Alligator mississippiensis: one gene and its partner. The protein of the gene in region 1 purifies or fractionates together with the protein of each later gene. This does not show direct contact. Links are inferred from orthologs where the notes say so. Each region holds a gene or a part of one and is shown in the gene's direction. Other genes may lie near its edges.

Region 1 (7,440 bases):
GCTGTACGAAATTTCATCACCAGTTTTGTTTCGACCTGTTTCGAGGTCAAAACAGCAAAACTGAAACGAAACAGATATGGCCGAAACAAAACGAGATGCGTCAAAACGTTTCAACGCTGTTTCAACGTTTCGCCCGTGGGCTATAATGGGGAAGGTCAAAACAGCCTATAACTTTGTCATTTCTGGCCAGATTTGGATAAAACTTGCAGAAATGGTAGCCCCTTCTGAGGGCATAAAGCGTGGCAAGTTTCAGGAAGATAGGTGGAGGGGGTTTGGAGAAACTGCACCCCAAAATCCTGAAAGCGAAACTCATGTCGTGTATGTGTTGATCCGCAGTAGGGTCAAACCTGCAGGCATGCTAGCCCCTGCTGAGGCCACAAAGCCTGCTAAGTTTCAAGGAGATAAGTACAGGGGTTTGAGGGAAACTGCACCTCAAGCTGTGGACAAGCAGAACTCATGACATGGGTGACCCTGTGTGTGCTAAGGCACAGCAGGGTGGAAGCTGCAGGGACGGTAGCCCCTGCTGCGGCCATGATGCCTGCCAGCTGTCTAGATCGGTGCAGGGGTTCTGGGGCCCCTGCACCCCTAGCTGCTGACAGGCAAATCTCATGACATGGGTGCTTGTGCAACCGCTGCCTCTCATCAGGCAGGAGGACCAAAGATCCCCCATCACTTGCCACCACAGACCTGGGGTTAATAATTGACCACAGTATGAACATGAGCCAGCAGTGCGATGCTGTAGGCAGCAGGGCCAACAATACACTGGCATGCATCAATTGATGCATCTTCAGCAAAACCATTGCAAAGAAGTGATTCTCATGCTCTGCTCGGCTCTTCTCAGCACTGGTGAGACCTCAGCTGGAGTGCTGTGTCCAGTTCTGGGCTCTGCACCTTAGCAAGGACGTGGTAAAGCTTGAGAGAGTCCAGAGGAGGGCTACCCATATGATCAGAGACTTTCATGGTAAGCCATACAAGGAAAGGCTGAGGGACCTAGGACTCTTCAGCCTGAAGAAGAGAAGGCTGAGAGGGGACCTGGTAGCAGCTTACCACTACACTAGGGGAGTACATCTAGGGCTCAGTGAACAAGTGTTCACCAGGGCACGTACATCTAGGGCTCGGTGAACTGTTCACCAGGGCATCCTTGGTGAAAACCAGGAGTAACGGTTACAGTGTGGACACCCTAGTTGTGAAGTCGTTTTTCCTAACATTGAGCCTGAAACAATCTTCCAGGAGTTTGGGACCATTCCTATCCTACGGGTGAAACATTGAAACGGCAAAACGTTTTGACGGAACAAAATGGAACAGCTGTTTCGACTCGAAACACAAGTCGAAACAAAATGCTGTTCTGTCGAAACAACGCTTCTGTTTCGCACAGCCCTAGTCAGGAGCTCTGGCTTCTGATACCGGCCTCACCAAACCTCTTCCTGCCTCTGCACCTCTCAGGAGGCATGGAGGTATGTGTCCTCTTGTTGGAGCCATGGCTGCTGCAGTGCCCAGCAGCCCTCCCTGAAAGTTGCTGCTGGACAGTGCTAGCACCTGCGGCAGCTCTGCCTCCCATCTCTGAGAGAACTTGCAGCACGTCCTGCAGGCAGGCAGCCTGGACCCTTCACACCTGGCAGCAGAAGCAGGTTCTGCAGCCAGGGCCCAGCGTGGAGCTCCTGCTGTTTGGATGTGGTGAGTTCCCCCTGACAGGGACAGCAGCAGCTCGAGGGGCTCTGAGCCGCATAGGGCCCTGCAGGTCAGACTAACAGCTTAGGATCCACCTGGAAATTGGGTGGCATCCAGTGCAGCTCATGGAGTGGGAGCATCACGTGCCACTTGCAGAGCTACAGCCCACCTACCTGCCCTCAGGTCCACGGGCTGACCCTGGGTGGGGGTCAGAACTCTCCATCCTGCTGATGTGCTGAAGGGAAGGAAATGGGCTTCGCGCAGCTTTCCCGCTGCTCCTGCCAGCATCGCCATGCCCTCGTGTGCCCCCAGCTCCAGCCAGCTTGCTCCCTAGGCACCGAGCCAGGCATCCCACAGCAATGGTCGGATCCGAGGAGGCAGCAGCAGCTGCAAACCTCCCCCACCAGTAGTACTGGCCTCGAGTCCTCCGCTGGGCGTGTGGGATGTTTGTTTCTGGCTTTTCAGCTATTCAAGAAAAGAACCATGGCTGCCTGTCTCCCCAGAGTTACAGCACAAACACACGCTTTTCCTTCTTTGTTCGTTACTTTTGTAACTTTCTCATCCCAAATTGTCCAATCCTTGGGTCCCATACCGTATCTTTTTAAATAAGGTACTCCAATCCTACTCGGTTTTTGGTTTCGTTTTCTTTTAGGGAAACTTGTACCTGGTTTCGCTGACTGTACCAATCGCAGCACTCACTGTTTCCAGTGCCTTATATAAGGCACTTTGTACAATTGCATTGCTTAGTTCTGGGAGGGCCTCGACCGTGGCTAATAGCCATAGCATAACTCAGTTTGCCTGCTACGCTGCTGTGCTGCCGTCTGAGCCTGGTGTGATGACCAAAGCAGGTGCTCTGCAGCTTTAGCTTTAGCTACAAGTTCTGCTCTAGGCTCTAGTGGAAGGCTGCCCCAGCTGCCCTGGTTTGGTATGTGGGCATCTGGGTTGAGGACCAGCAGCAACAGTCCTACTGGCTAGGACCAGTTGGCCTTAGGCTGGCCTCATGGGCTACCAAGGCCTGGTCAACATGTGACTCAGCCCAGCTTTAGGGAATCCACTTGTCCCTGCAGACTGGAATATGCTGGTCCCAACAGAGTTAAATGTGTCAGGACTTAACGAGTGGCAGCAGAGAGACCGGATCTTTGTGCGGTCAGGGGGCCTGCCCGTAGCTGTCTCTGCTTCTAGCATGCCGACGGGCTGGAGGGGGCTGGTGTGGGGTTGTGTCATGTCTGGTGAGATCCCCCTCCTTGGTGCGTGCAGGGAGCGTGTTTTCCCTGGCGTGTGCAGCACCCTGCTCGGGGGCTGGGAGGCATGTCGGGGGGGGCCCAGGCTGCTGTTACCCCACAGCCATGCAGAGCTGCCTGCAGCTGGAGCGATTCCAGGGGGCTGGGCCGTGGGCACACACGAGCTCCTCTGCAAGGGCAGCATCAAACCGCTGCACAGTCAGCCCCAGGAGCCGGCTCTACACTGATCCTCCCAGCTCAGATCTGGTGCCTGTCACCTGGACGCCTCTTCCTATTGGACTGGCTCCTCTGTGGGCTTGAAGTCTCTTCTCCCTGGTAGCCAGGCCCTGGGTGGGGCACAGACCCCAGGGCCTGGCCCTTTTCCCCTCCAGCCTGCACTTGCAGAGCCTGTGAACTGAGCGGCAGCACTTCCAACGCACGGTGCCTCCAGCCGGCCCCACGACCACCCACGAGAGGGAGCTGCAGGCCTGGCAGAGAACAGACGTCCCCTCGTGCACCCGTGCGAGGCAGTCCCCAGCTGATGGTGCTGCTGCAGCGGGGCTCTGGAAGAGCCTGTGCCCGGCTGTAAGGGCCCTGCTTGGCCTCGAAGAGCCCTCGCATTTCTGTCGCTGCAGGAAAGCTACCGCTGGAATCTGTTTCTGCGGTGCCAGCGCTGCGGAAATGCCCGAGACACGGCCCCGGGGGAGCAGAGCGGAGATGGGAACGGCTTATTCCAGCATTGGCAGCGCAGGTCAGGCTAACAGCCTGGGACCCAGCTGGAAACCAGGTGGCATCCAGCGCAGCTCACGGAAGAGGAGCATCCCCTGCCACTTGCAGAGACACCTGCCGCAGCCGCCGGCCCTCGGCGGGAGCTGTGGGGCAAAGAGGAGGGAGAGCCGGGCACCCGCGTGGGGGCATCCTCCTTGCAGGTAAAGCCTTTGCTGCCCCTGCGCCCGGAGTCGCCCATGGTTCGTCAGGATGAAGGCCGGGGGCTGTTGCTGAGTTGGTTGAGTGCTAGAGCCGCGGGGCTGCAGGAGGCCTGCAGAGCAGGGGTCACGTCCAGCCCAGCCCGGGCCACCCCCCTGGCTGACTAGTCACCCTGACAGCCCCGGGCGTCGCACCCGAGCCCACCACGGGCAGCAGGGGCCGCGGCAGCCAACGTCCCGCTGCAAAGGGGGCCAGAGGTGCTCAGTGGACCCAGGCAGGACTGTGCCCCTGCTGCAGAGGGAGGCAAAAGCCCCCCATTTCGGACCAGTGTGAGCAGAGGGAAATCCCTGCCTGCCCCAGTGCAGCAGCAGAGGGCCTGGTGGGGGCACGGGACCGCCTGGCCCCTTCCCCGCGCCGGGCGGCCCATGGCAGGCGCACGACCTGCGCCATCCTCAGCCCCCGCTGTGCGCGCGGGGGACGCCCGCTAGGGGGAGCCGCTGCTCCGCGCCGGAGGCGCCGCTTGCGTCACAGGAGTAGGGGCGGGGGCGGGTCGCTCTTCGCGCATGCGCCCTCGCGGCCCGCCTTCGCGCACGCGCATGCTGTTCGGCGGGCTCGCCACGGGCCGAGTGCGCATGCGTGTTCGCCCCTCACCGGAAGTGGTCGCCGTGTTGCGGCGGGGAGGCCTGGCGGCGGCAGTGGTGAGAGCGGGCTCTGAGCACGCTTCCCGGGGCCCCGCGGCTGTCTCCGCGGCTGTCACCCGGGGGGGGGGCGGGTACGGGCGGCGCCATTGCCCCGCCGGGGGGTGGTGGCGGGAGGTTCCATTCATGCCCCGGGCCCCGCGGATGTCCTGCGGGGGTCCGGGAGGTTCCACTCATTCCCGGGGCGGTTCCATTGATCCGGGGGGGGGGGGGGGGTCGAGCGGTTCCACTGTTCGTTGGGGGGGGTCCCTCGGACGGTTCCATTAATCCGGGAGGGGGGTGGGGCTCGAGCGGTTCCATTGATTCATGGGGGCTCTTCAGGCGGTCCCATGGATCCGTGGGGGGGGGGGGATCTTGGGCGGTTCCATTGTTCAGGGGGTCCCTCCGGCCGTTCCATTGATGGGGGGGTCCTCGGGCGGTTCCATCGGTCGGGGCCCCTGGCGCTGGTGACTCCCGCCCCAGGCGCCTGCTCCCTGGCCAGTGCATGGCCGTGCTCTGCTGTGGGGGTTGCCCCCTCCCCCCTTCCTGCTACGTGGGAGGGGGTTAAGCCCCTGTGGGAGGCTTGCTGGCTGCAGTCGGGGCCGGGCTGTGCCCATGCTCCTGCGGGGCCCTGGCTGGAGGGTCTCGCCCCACGCTGCGCTGGGCTCGGGATCAATCCCCCCGTGCTCCGACTGCGTGTGATAGCGGCGGGACGCGCGGTGCCGGGTCCCCTGCTTTACGCGTGGCGGGTTCGGCCGTCCGGTTTAGCTGGCGGGTTTGCGCGGGGCCGAGCCTGCCTCGGGCGGGGGTTGGACTGGACCTGACATCTGCTCCCTTCCCCCCCCCCCCCCCCCCCCCCCCCCCCGCTGCTTTAGGATTTCTATAAATTGCGATAATATTTTTCCATAATGGGGGGAAAAAGTGAATGGGAGCGGAGATCTGGCATCTTCCAGGGGGGCCTTGAGTCTCTCTCGAGTCTGCGGAGGCTGAGAACCGCTGATCTGTAATTGGCAGGGTCCTAGGGAAGCTGAGCTGAGAGGCACCTCATGGGGTCCCATCAAGTCCGGCCCCTGCTAACCCCCCCCGGCACAGGTCTGTGCACCCTGCTCTTGAACACGTCGGAGGATGGGGAGCTCACAGCATCTGTTAGTCTGTCCCAGGGCCTGACCCCCCCGAGTCTGCAAGTTCCTCCTCGTCTCCAGCCTCAGTTTCCCCAGCAGCCGCTTGAGCCCGTTGCTCCTAGCCCTGCCCCCACGGAGAAGAGCCCACCTCCATCCTCCCTGTCATCGCCTTTCAGGGATTTGCAAACTGATCAAACCCCCCTCCAGCCTTCTCTTCTCCAGGCTAAATGCCCCCAGCTCTTTCAGCCTGTCCTCGCCAGCCTCGCCGCCCAGGCCCCGTCGTTTCTGTCACTCTCCCTGGACTCCGTCCAAACTGTCCCCGTCCTCCTCCAAGTGCGGAGCCCTAGGCTGGACACGGGGCCCCAAGGGAGGCCTCCCCGGTGCTGAACGGAGCAGAAGAATCGCCGGCCTTGATTTGCATGTTTGTACAGCTCAGGAGACAGCTTATTTTGCAGCGAGAGCGCACTGTTGGCTCCTATTCAGCTTATGGCCCACTCATTCCCAGGTCCCTCTCTGCAGCGCTGCAGCCCGGCCCCTCGCTCCCCCGTCTGTATTTGTGCGCGCCGGTTTTCCATCCCAAGTGCAGGACTTGGCACTTGTCCTTGCTGAATCTCGTCCGTTTGATTTCAGACCATTTCTCCAGCTGTTGGACGTATGCGTAAGGCTCGGGAGGTTTACAGTCCAAACAAAATAGGCTACAATGGGCAAATAAACCTAGCAGCGCTGGTTCTCTTCAGCTTCTGGCTCTCCTGTTGCATCTCCCACGGGCGACTGCTTGGGCTAAATGCAGGAGAATGATTGGCTCCAAATGTATCTGCAGCGCGTTATCTAATACCTCAGCATGTTTTAATTAAAGCATGTCTATTACTGCTTTGCATGACCATCTTCTCTCAGAATCCCTGGCCCTGAGCTTTGACAGCATCCAATTAAGTTATGACTGTAATTAAATTCTCCAGTCTGATTAGTTAAACACCTGTACAGCAGATTTTAAAAAGGGAGTTATGTGAAGCGGAGGCATTTGGGATGTCTGGGATTACTCTTCGCTTGCATGCCATATGGTTGTAAGTGCTGGAAACTGTCTGATGGCTCTCGGGCGAATGGCTGAAAGGCAGGGACTGTTTTCCTTCGTTTGTAGAGCATGTGGTAGCACTTTAGGCAACACAATATAAATACCTGATTTATGGATTAAAGCACCGTTGCCATTCCTGACTTCGGGTAGGTATTTCAACCATGTCCAGAGTCGGAGCATGTTGTGCTAAGCAGTGATTCCCCGCAGGCTGCTTGGCACGAGGCTAGGAACGAACAGACGAATCCCTCTAAGACAGCCTCATGAATCATGATTAAGAGATAATCACCAATTTGTGCTTTCCTTTGCAGTGTTGGAAGCAATGGAGAACTATAAAAAGAGCAAGATTGTGGAGAAGCCCTGTCCTCTGCCTTTCTCCAACCTGCCCTCAGACATTATCGAGATGAAGGTGAAGGACGGCAGCAAGATCAGAAACCTGATGGGCTATGCCATCGGCAAGATGGAGGCGGACGCTGTCAGGCAGATCCTTTTCACTGGCTCGGGCAAAGCTGTCGGCAAGACCATCACCTGCGTGGAAATCATGAAGCGGAGGCTCAAGGAACTCCACCAGGTCACCAAAGTGCTCTTCAGACAGATTGAAGAGATTTGGGAGCCCATCGTGCCCGAGGCGGGCCTCGACACCTTGACAGTGAAGAGGAACATCCCTGCCATATGCATCTTGCTGAGCAAAGATGCGCTCGATCCCCAAGAGCCTGGTTATCAGGCTCCAGGCTCTTTCGAGGCCTTCTGGATTGAGACGC
Region 2 (8,058 bases), on another chromosome or scaffold:
TGCTGATACGATATGGACTGATATATTGATGCACCTCTACTTAAGAGGTAGATTTAAGTTATCTCTAACTTGTGATACTATTAAACAAAGAAGTCCTTCAAGTTCCTACTTTGGTAAAATTCTTAGCTGTTTTAATAAGAGTTTTGCTTAAAGTAAGGACTGAAAACAATTACTACTATATTATATCCTATGAGTGATTAAATAGAATTAAATAGAAGTTGCTTTAATGACATTGTCTACAAATGTCATCATTTTATCACATTGTGCTCTGGTTTAAGACAGCCTCTGGAAATATACACAAACCTCTGAGAAGCTGAAATTCCTGATTTTAAATACAGTGACCAACTGCCCTGACTAAAAAGTTGTTAACTATTTTTTGTCATATACTCTTATGCAATTATTTTGACATCCATTTGCAAAAACAAGATTCCAGTGATGGGAGTTCAAATTATGAACTGAATGGTCAACACATTGGGCAGCAGGTAGCACAGGGAAGGGCAGCAGTCATGGGGATGCATGCTGGGCACCACACACCTAGCTAGGCAGGGGAAAAGTTGCAGATGGGTGGCTCCTGCCCCAGCACACAAGGCTCCAGCTCCGAGACACCTTCCACCCACGTGGCTTATCACACCAGGTGGGCAGAGTAGGTGGAAGGTGCCTGGGAGCTGGAGCCCTACACACTGGGGCAGGAGCTGCCCAGCAGCAGCTTCCCCCTGCCTGGTTGGGTGTGTGGTGCCCAGCAGGCATTCCCATGGCTGCTGTCTTTCCCTGTGCTACCTGCTGCCTGGAGCGGTATAGCAGGGGCAGCAGGAGGAGGAACTGGTAGAGACAGGGGGAACCAAGGAATACCTGGGCAGTTGCAGCCACACTAGGAGCAGTCCCACTGGGAAGCCGTGTGCATGCTGGCCCAGGCCAGATTGATTGACTCTATTTGTGGATAGTTTAAGGCCTCCATTATTTCTGTTTTCTGCTTTTGCAGTCTCAACTCCCTTAGCATTTCTACCTTGCTGCTTCTAGCCTGGTCTGGTGGGAGGGGAGAAGGGAGCTATACTTTTTCTATTGAAACTTAGCATTTCTAACCACAGAGGTCCTAGGGTACCTCTCTCATCAGTTAAAAAACAAATCTACCCTAATTGAGTCAATGCAGCATTTGATGTAGAGTTCCACTCCCCCACCAGTCCGATCTAGTACTGGGGTCGGCAATGTTTTTAGGCAGAGTGCCAAAAACACCTGCAACCTTGACTTGTAAGATGTTGGTGTGTCAGGGGCAGATGGTGGGGGAGCCATGGGGGCCCCTATCCTTGTTGTGGCAGTGCAGCCCCAGCCCATTCCCTGCTGTTCGCCCCAATGTGCGCATGCCAAACAAAATGACTTTGTGTGCCATACTCTGGCACTTGTGCCTGATGTAGTCTAGCTTTCTGTATAACTTGTATTTTGGTATTACATCTTCCAATTGATTTTCCTCACTTCACATTTCTGAGATATCTAGTATGGCAGTATTGTTATTTACTGCTAGGCAGTCAAGTTCCTCAGTCTTGGACCTTAGAATTCTGGCATTAGTATAAAAGCCAGAATCTTTTAAAAAAAATTATTGAAATAAGAATAGGAATACATAAGAATATAAATATAAATCTTTTTTATTGTTGCCTGGGTGGCCACTTGTATATGACAGTTTAATTAGTAAATCTATTTTTTCATGCTGTTCTCATATTTCACCTGCATACTTCTAGTCTGTTTCTTATGCTTATTGTTCACAGCTTCACCCCTATAGGGTGTTTCAATCTGAGCCCTATTCTGTACCTTTTAGCTCCCCATTTATTAGTTTCAAAGGTGTTCTACCACCTTTCTAATGTTTACCCCTTGTCAAGCCAGGACATAGGCAGCCAGGTCTGGGGGATCATCTATGGGTCAGAAACACAGCTGAGGTCTGAGGGGAGCAGGCCACATCAGAGGTAGGCAAGTCAGGAAGCCCGAAGATCCATCCAGGAAACATGTCAGAAATCCAGAGTCGAGCAGAACACAGGGCCAGGAGACTAGCTGGGTCACATATCCAGGAGATCAAACCAGAATTGGGTCAAATATCCAAAGGATCAGGCCAAGCTTGGGGTCCACAGGCCAGCCAGGTCAGGCCTGGAGACCGTCAGGAAACCAGTGGCAGCATGACCTGAAGGTACAACCCAGACACAGGACTGAACCTTATTGCTCTGACATTTCTTCTTCCAGGGCAGGGGTTTATATTGGAAGAGGTGAAGGGCCAGCTGACCTAGGCAGACCACTTTTCTGGCAGCGAGTGGGTATCTGCTAGGCCAGGGCTGGGCAAAATATGGCCCGTGGGCTGCATCCGACCTGCCAGGCCATTCGATCAGGCTTGCGGGCACCTCTAAAATTTAGATAATTATTACCTGCTGGAGGCTGCCTGTCTGAAAGCGGACTGCCCTACCCTGCCCCTTCCTCACCCCACAGAGCTTCTGGAGACCAGAAGCTCCTGGCTAGTAGAGAATTCTGCCCTGGCAACCCTGTGGCTGTTCCCCAGCCCTCCCTCATCCGAGAGTTGAAAGTCAGGTGAGAACTGGCGGGGGGAGAAGTACCACTGGAGATCGTCCCACTCTGTGGGGGTGGTGGGACTCTGGCTGTGTGCCTCCATGTGCCACTCCTGGCTAGAGTGCCAGGAGCACCGCGTGTAGGCATGGAGCTTGCTCAGCTTGATGGCATGTGACTTTCCATGGTTCTGGCACTCTAGTGTGCCACTGGGTCAGGCTAGGTCAGCTCCATGGCACACTGTGTGGGTCCTGGCCTTGCAACCAGGAACCATGTGCTGCTGGGAGGAGACAGGCTGAGCCAGGCCAGCTCCATGCTGTGCCATGTGGGCCCTGGACATGCAGAGCAGAACTGCATGCTGCTGGGATGGGCCAGGCCTGGCTGGGTTGTCTCTGTGCCACACTGTGTGGGTCCTAGGCTTTGCAGCCAGGACCTATATGCTGCATGGTGCAGCACAGAGCCAGCTGGTTCAGGCTGGCTCTGTGCTGCACCATGCAGGTCCCAGCCTTGGACCTGGGAACCATGCAGCGCAGCAGGGAGCCAGCCCAGCCCACCCTGTCCCCTCTTGGGCAGCATGTGGTTCTCCGCTGCATGCCCGGGATTCATGTGGCACAGCACAGAGGGTCTGGGCCAGGCTGGCTCTGTTCTGTGCCATGTGGGTCCTGGACTTGCAGCCAGAACTGTGTTGTGCCTGAATGGGTTGGGCCAGGCTGGCCTCATGTTGCACCATATGGGTTCCAGCCTTGTAGGCCGAAACTGCATGCTGCAGTCAGGATAGGATGCGCAGGGCTGGCTCTCCATCTCCCACCATACCCCCAACCCATACCAACACCCTCCCACAGCCCCCCACACACTCCCAGCCCCCTCACCCTTCACTATATCCACACACATACTTTCCCACACTCCCCCATCATACTCCCACACACTCTTACAGCCCCCCACTCCTACCATAATCACTCCACAACCACACAGCCCCCACATGTGTCCCCTTATCCCCCTCCCCCCTGACACAACATACAAGAGTAAGACTGTATTTTGAGCTATTATGCAATCACCTCTACACCAAAATACATACAACAGGGCAAAAATATTTTAATTTTATTTTAAAATATGTTATAGTAGATATTATTTGATTTTTTTTTTTTTTAGTATACGATTCGTTTTTTTCCAGTTTCACGATCGCAACCCCCACCCCTCCCAAAAAGGAGTACTTCATAGATTTCATAGACATTAGGGGCTGGAAGGGACCTCACAAGATCATTGAGTCCAGCCCACCTGCCATAGGCAGGAAGTCTGCTGGGGCCAAATGATCCCAGCAAGATAAGCATGCAAACGCCTTTTGAATGAGCCCAGAGTAGGTGCTTGCACCACCTCTGGGGGGAGTCTGTTCCAGACCTTGGACATTTGGACTGTAAAGAAGTTTTTCCTTCTGTCCAGTCTAAATCAGCCTTCCCGAAATTTGTGGCCGTTAGACCTTGTTATCCTTTGGGGGGGCCCTGGTGAACTGTTCTCCCAGTTCCTGGTGCACAACCCTTATATACTTCCATGGCAAGGGGAGGGACTTCTGGTGGCAAAGGTCAGGGGCAGGATTTCTGGTTCCAAGATGGTGACCAGGGGGCAGGGCACCTGTCAAAGGGCAGGGCTACCCTCACCACCCTCCTTAAGCAGCCCTCCAGCAGAAATAATTGCCCACCCCTTGCTAGGCCCAGCTAGAGGTTTCTGGCCACCTGCATCTGCCCCCTGTGCTGTTGGGAAGGTGGCAGCCTGGGGCCCAGGCAGGGCCCTGGGTGCCTGACACCCCCTGCCGGGAAGCAAAGAAACCCCCAGGCCCCCGCCTTCTTCGCCACAACAGCGGTTTGCTTTCCTTCTCTTAGTGCCGCTGGTTTCGGAGCTTTTCTTCTCGCCTGACAACGTTTCCTCTCGCCCTTGCTGACTGGTTGAGGGATGGGAGGGAGTTATCACCCGCCCCTGAAGTCAGCAGAGGCAGCGCAGGGAGGCACCGCATCAGCCTGCAGTTAGTCCCCAAGGAGTCACCTGCCCGCTGCCCCCGGCCAGGGGAAGCCTCTGTGCCTCCGGCTCCTTCAGAAGTGCTGGCGGCCCCCTCGCCGCACGCTGCAAAGCCCCGGGCTCCTTAGGCCAAGCCCAAGCTCCCGCTCGGAGCTGCGGGAGTCGGAGGGGCAGCGGCACAACCCGGCGCGCTTGGTTTCACCAATGCTTGTCCAGTCCCGGTTCCCGTCCAGTCCCCCGAGCCCACCCCGTCAGTCCCGCCCGGCTCCGCGGCATTGGGCAGCGCCCTGGCTTCCGGCAGCCAATGGACGCGCGGGACGTGCGGCGCTCCAGCCAATCCCGCGCGGCCTTGTTGCGGGGTGGGGCCGTTGCTCATCCCCTGCTAGTGCCAGCTCTGTGCCGGAGCCGTGGCAGTTGCCCCCTGGTCAGGCTCGCAGAGTAGCCTGGCTCCGCGCTGTCGCCACTGAGGATGAGCCCCCGTGAGGCCCAGCGCGCGGCCTGTTCCCCCCGCCCTGGCCCCGTCATCTAGCGACTGGTGAGGAGGCGGCGGGGGGGCTGCACGGGCCGGCGGAGTGGGGCGGGGCGGTCAGGTCCCCCCTCCACCTCCGGCGTCTTAACGGGCCGTAACCGCCCGGGCAGGAGCAGTGGCCCAGCGGCCGCCCCGGGGGCAGCGCTGGCGGCGCCGCTGCTCCTGCTCGTCTCTTTCCGCTGCTGTCCCTTGCGCCACGTCGTAAGCACTCCGGGAGCCTCCCCAGGCATAGGCGGGTTTCGGCTCCTGAAAAGGGGGTTCAGGTGCTGCGGTGCTGTCAGCACGTGTAAAACGACACACTTTTCTCCAGTATAAATAAGATCGAAGCTTTGCTAATGGTGGGAGGGGTCAGGTGGATTATTCCCTTTTAAGATGGAAATGAAAACGAATTGCTGAAGGAGTTACAAAGAGTGCAGAGGGCTGTGAAATAGCGTCTTTCCCAGAGTTAGCAAGCAGCCACAAAGGCCAGCCCCTGAGTACGTGGAGACGATTAAAAAGAAGAGGTTTGTTACCAGTGGTAGGATGAGTTTAGAAGGGATCAGGTAGGTTTATAATGATACATGAAGTCAAGTGTCTCCCTTGGCACTGCTGGGACAGAGTTCATGGTGCTGCTGCTAGGCACTAGGTTTTGAAGTTTCAGTGGAGCAGGAATCAAAGTGTAGGGGGAGGGTGCAAGTGCATTTCCCTGGATCCACCTCTTTTTCCTGCCCCCAGGCATTTGGTTTCACTTTGCTGGATGTTTGGTGAAGCATTTACCAGCTTGACTTCAGAGCTTCATGTTTCGGGTAGCACATCTGTAAATCTCCAATGACTGTACAGGGGATCTTTGAAATAATATTTGGGGTTCACAGATCTGACTTGTCAGCAGCATTGAGCAATTTGAATGTGAAGAGTTAAAGCAAAGGCCCAGCCCCTGGTCCTGGCAAATAATGGGAAGGGAAAACAGCTGTGCTTTTGTGTGAAGTCAGAATGGTTTTGACCATTTCCAGTTGTGCCATTGCTCTTTTTTGTTTTTAACTTAAAATTTCTCCATAGCTGTATCTTTTTTTAACTGGCTCATGGACTATGTATAAAGTGGAAGTCATTCCAGGATGATTTAAATGAGTGTTGTAATTTACATGAATGGCATTTTTATGTTTTGTTATGAATTAAATACAAACCTTTCTATCTATAGCGTGCATTAATAATTAAAAGGTTAACAAAGTGAGGAATGAACGTTGGATAAGGAGACTGGAGTTGCTGGGGTGCTGTTACTCTTTCTCCAACCACAGTTATGGCAGAAAGGAGACTTTATGCCAATGTGCTGCTTGGTGACAAAAACAATAATTGGAGCATGTTACCTGGCATTTTGAACTGTTTGTGTTATGATCAGAGAAACTTTAAGGTGAAATAAAACACTACTCTTAGGTAGCAAACGTACTTAGACTACCTTGGATTCATGTTTACTTAACCTGTTCTTAAAAATCTCAGTCATGGGGACTCTACAAACTCTATAGATAGCTTGTTCCAGTGCTTACGTAACCTCATAGTTAGAAAGTATTTCCTCAAGTCCAATGTAAATCTTCTTTGCTGCACATTAAGCTGATTACTTCTCATCCTATCTACAGTGAACCTGGAGGACGACTCATCACTCCTCTTTAATAGAACCCTTTCCATGTTTGACAGCTGCTGTGTCCTCAGTCTTTTCTCTTCTAGAGAGAAACTCAGTTCCTTCAACCTTTCTCTGTAGGTCATTGTTTTCTAAACCTCTTAACGCTCATTATTTTATCATTTGGACCCTCATCCATCTTAAAAAGTGGTGGTTGAACTGGCATGGTATTCTAGTTGAGGCATTACAGGTGCTGTGGAGATGATTCCTTCCCCCATGTGGTTGTATATACAACACTTTGGTTGAAGCATTCCAGAGTGAGGCTTGCTGGTATGTATTTTGCAACTTCACATTATTGGTAGCTCATATTCTCTTGCATGCAACTATTACCTTGACAGTTACTGCCCATTTTGCATATACACATTTGGTTTCTTTTTAAACGCACTTTTCTTGACCAAATTTCATTTGGCTGATCTTTGGATCATTTATCTAATTTTTCAAAATCATCTTGAGTTCAAGTCTTGTTCTCCGAAGTAGTTGCAGGTCATCCCTGCTTGGTCATTTACAAGTTTGGTAAGTGAACATGTTGTTCTGCAATCCAGGTTGTTGAAAATGTTGAATTGAATACTCCATTTGAGAGATCCTTGATAATTTTTCAATGAAAAATCATGTCCAAAGATCTGGTAATTTTTTTTAGTCTGTATTTTTCTGTTTATTTATAAGAACATCCTGTAGGGCGCAGTAGGACAGCTCAGCATTGGGATATAGTTGTTTCAAAATAAAGTCAGGATATATGCTGTAATTATTGTGTCCCTCTCTGGCTGCAATTTTGGTGATGATTATATGATCCCCCAGTAATAGGGAAGATGAGGGTTAAAGATTTGTATAAGTACTTTTTAATGATGTAGACTAAACTTTAAGGCTTGTTCTTTGGATTGCAGAGTATCAAAGCAGGTATTGTATTTATTACCAAATGACTTTAGAAAGTACGAATCATTCAACTAAAGGGGCTAAAACTGATGTTTATTTAAAGCTACACCTGAGCTCAGTTTGAATTTATAGGTAAAAATTCTTATAAAATGTTCTTATCAACAAAGCATTCTAATGACAGTCTGCAATGAGACTTGAGTCTGGAGCTTGCTCACTTACTTTCTGGTTGGGGCTGCCAACTCTGTGGAGACAGCTTAGCAGATATCAAAGGAAGGAGGGCAATGTGCTACTTCCTGTTCCTTTTCTTGAGGTAGATGTTCTTCCCCTGCAGCATTCCCACTGTTTGTTAAAATAAAATACGAGGAAGGAGATGCACATTCATTTCAAAATCACTTTGGTGTCTCATTTTTGTCTAATCCCAAATATAAAGATCTTTAATCTTTTAAACAATGCAAAGTACTCCAGT

Evidence for each region. Proteins that work in one complex are often made in the same cells at the same time.
Region 2: the proteins of RPP25L (region 1) and IBTK purify together in Homo sapiens (co-immunoprecipitation; 3 studies listed by BioGRID and IntAct, with this or other methods). This does not show direct contact. The link is inferred for Alligator mississippiensis from reciprocal best matches to the Homo sapiens genes RPP25L and IBTK.

What each region holds. Positions count from the first base shown.
Region 1 is NC_081826.1:299,908,215-299,915,654, reverse strand, and holds the start of RPP25L (ribonuclease P protein subunit p25-like protein), read left to right. Parts: upstream 1-4,423; 5' UTR 4,424-4,513; intron 4,514-6,990; 5' UTR 6,991-7,001; coding exon 7,002-7,440. UniProt on the Homo sapiens protein: May be a component of ribonuclease P or MRP.
Region 2 is NC_081824.1:71,274,118-71,282,175, reverse strand, and holds the start of IBTK (inhibitor of Bruton tyrosine kinase), read left to right. Parts: upstream 1-4,908; 5' UTR 4,909-5,080; intron 5,081-8,058. UniProt on the Homo sapiens protein: Acts as an inhibitor of BTK tyrosine kinase activity, thereby playing a role in B-cell development. Down-regulates BTK kinase activity, leading to interference with BTK-mediated calcium mobilization and NF-kappa-B-driven transcription.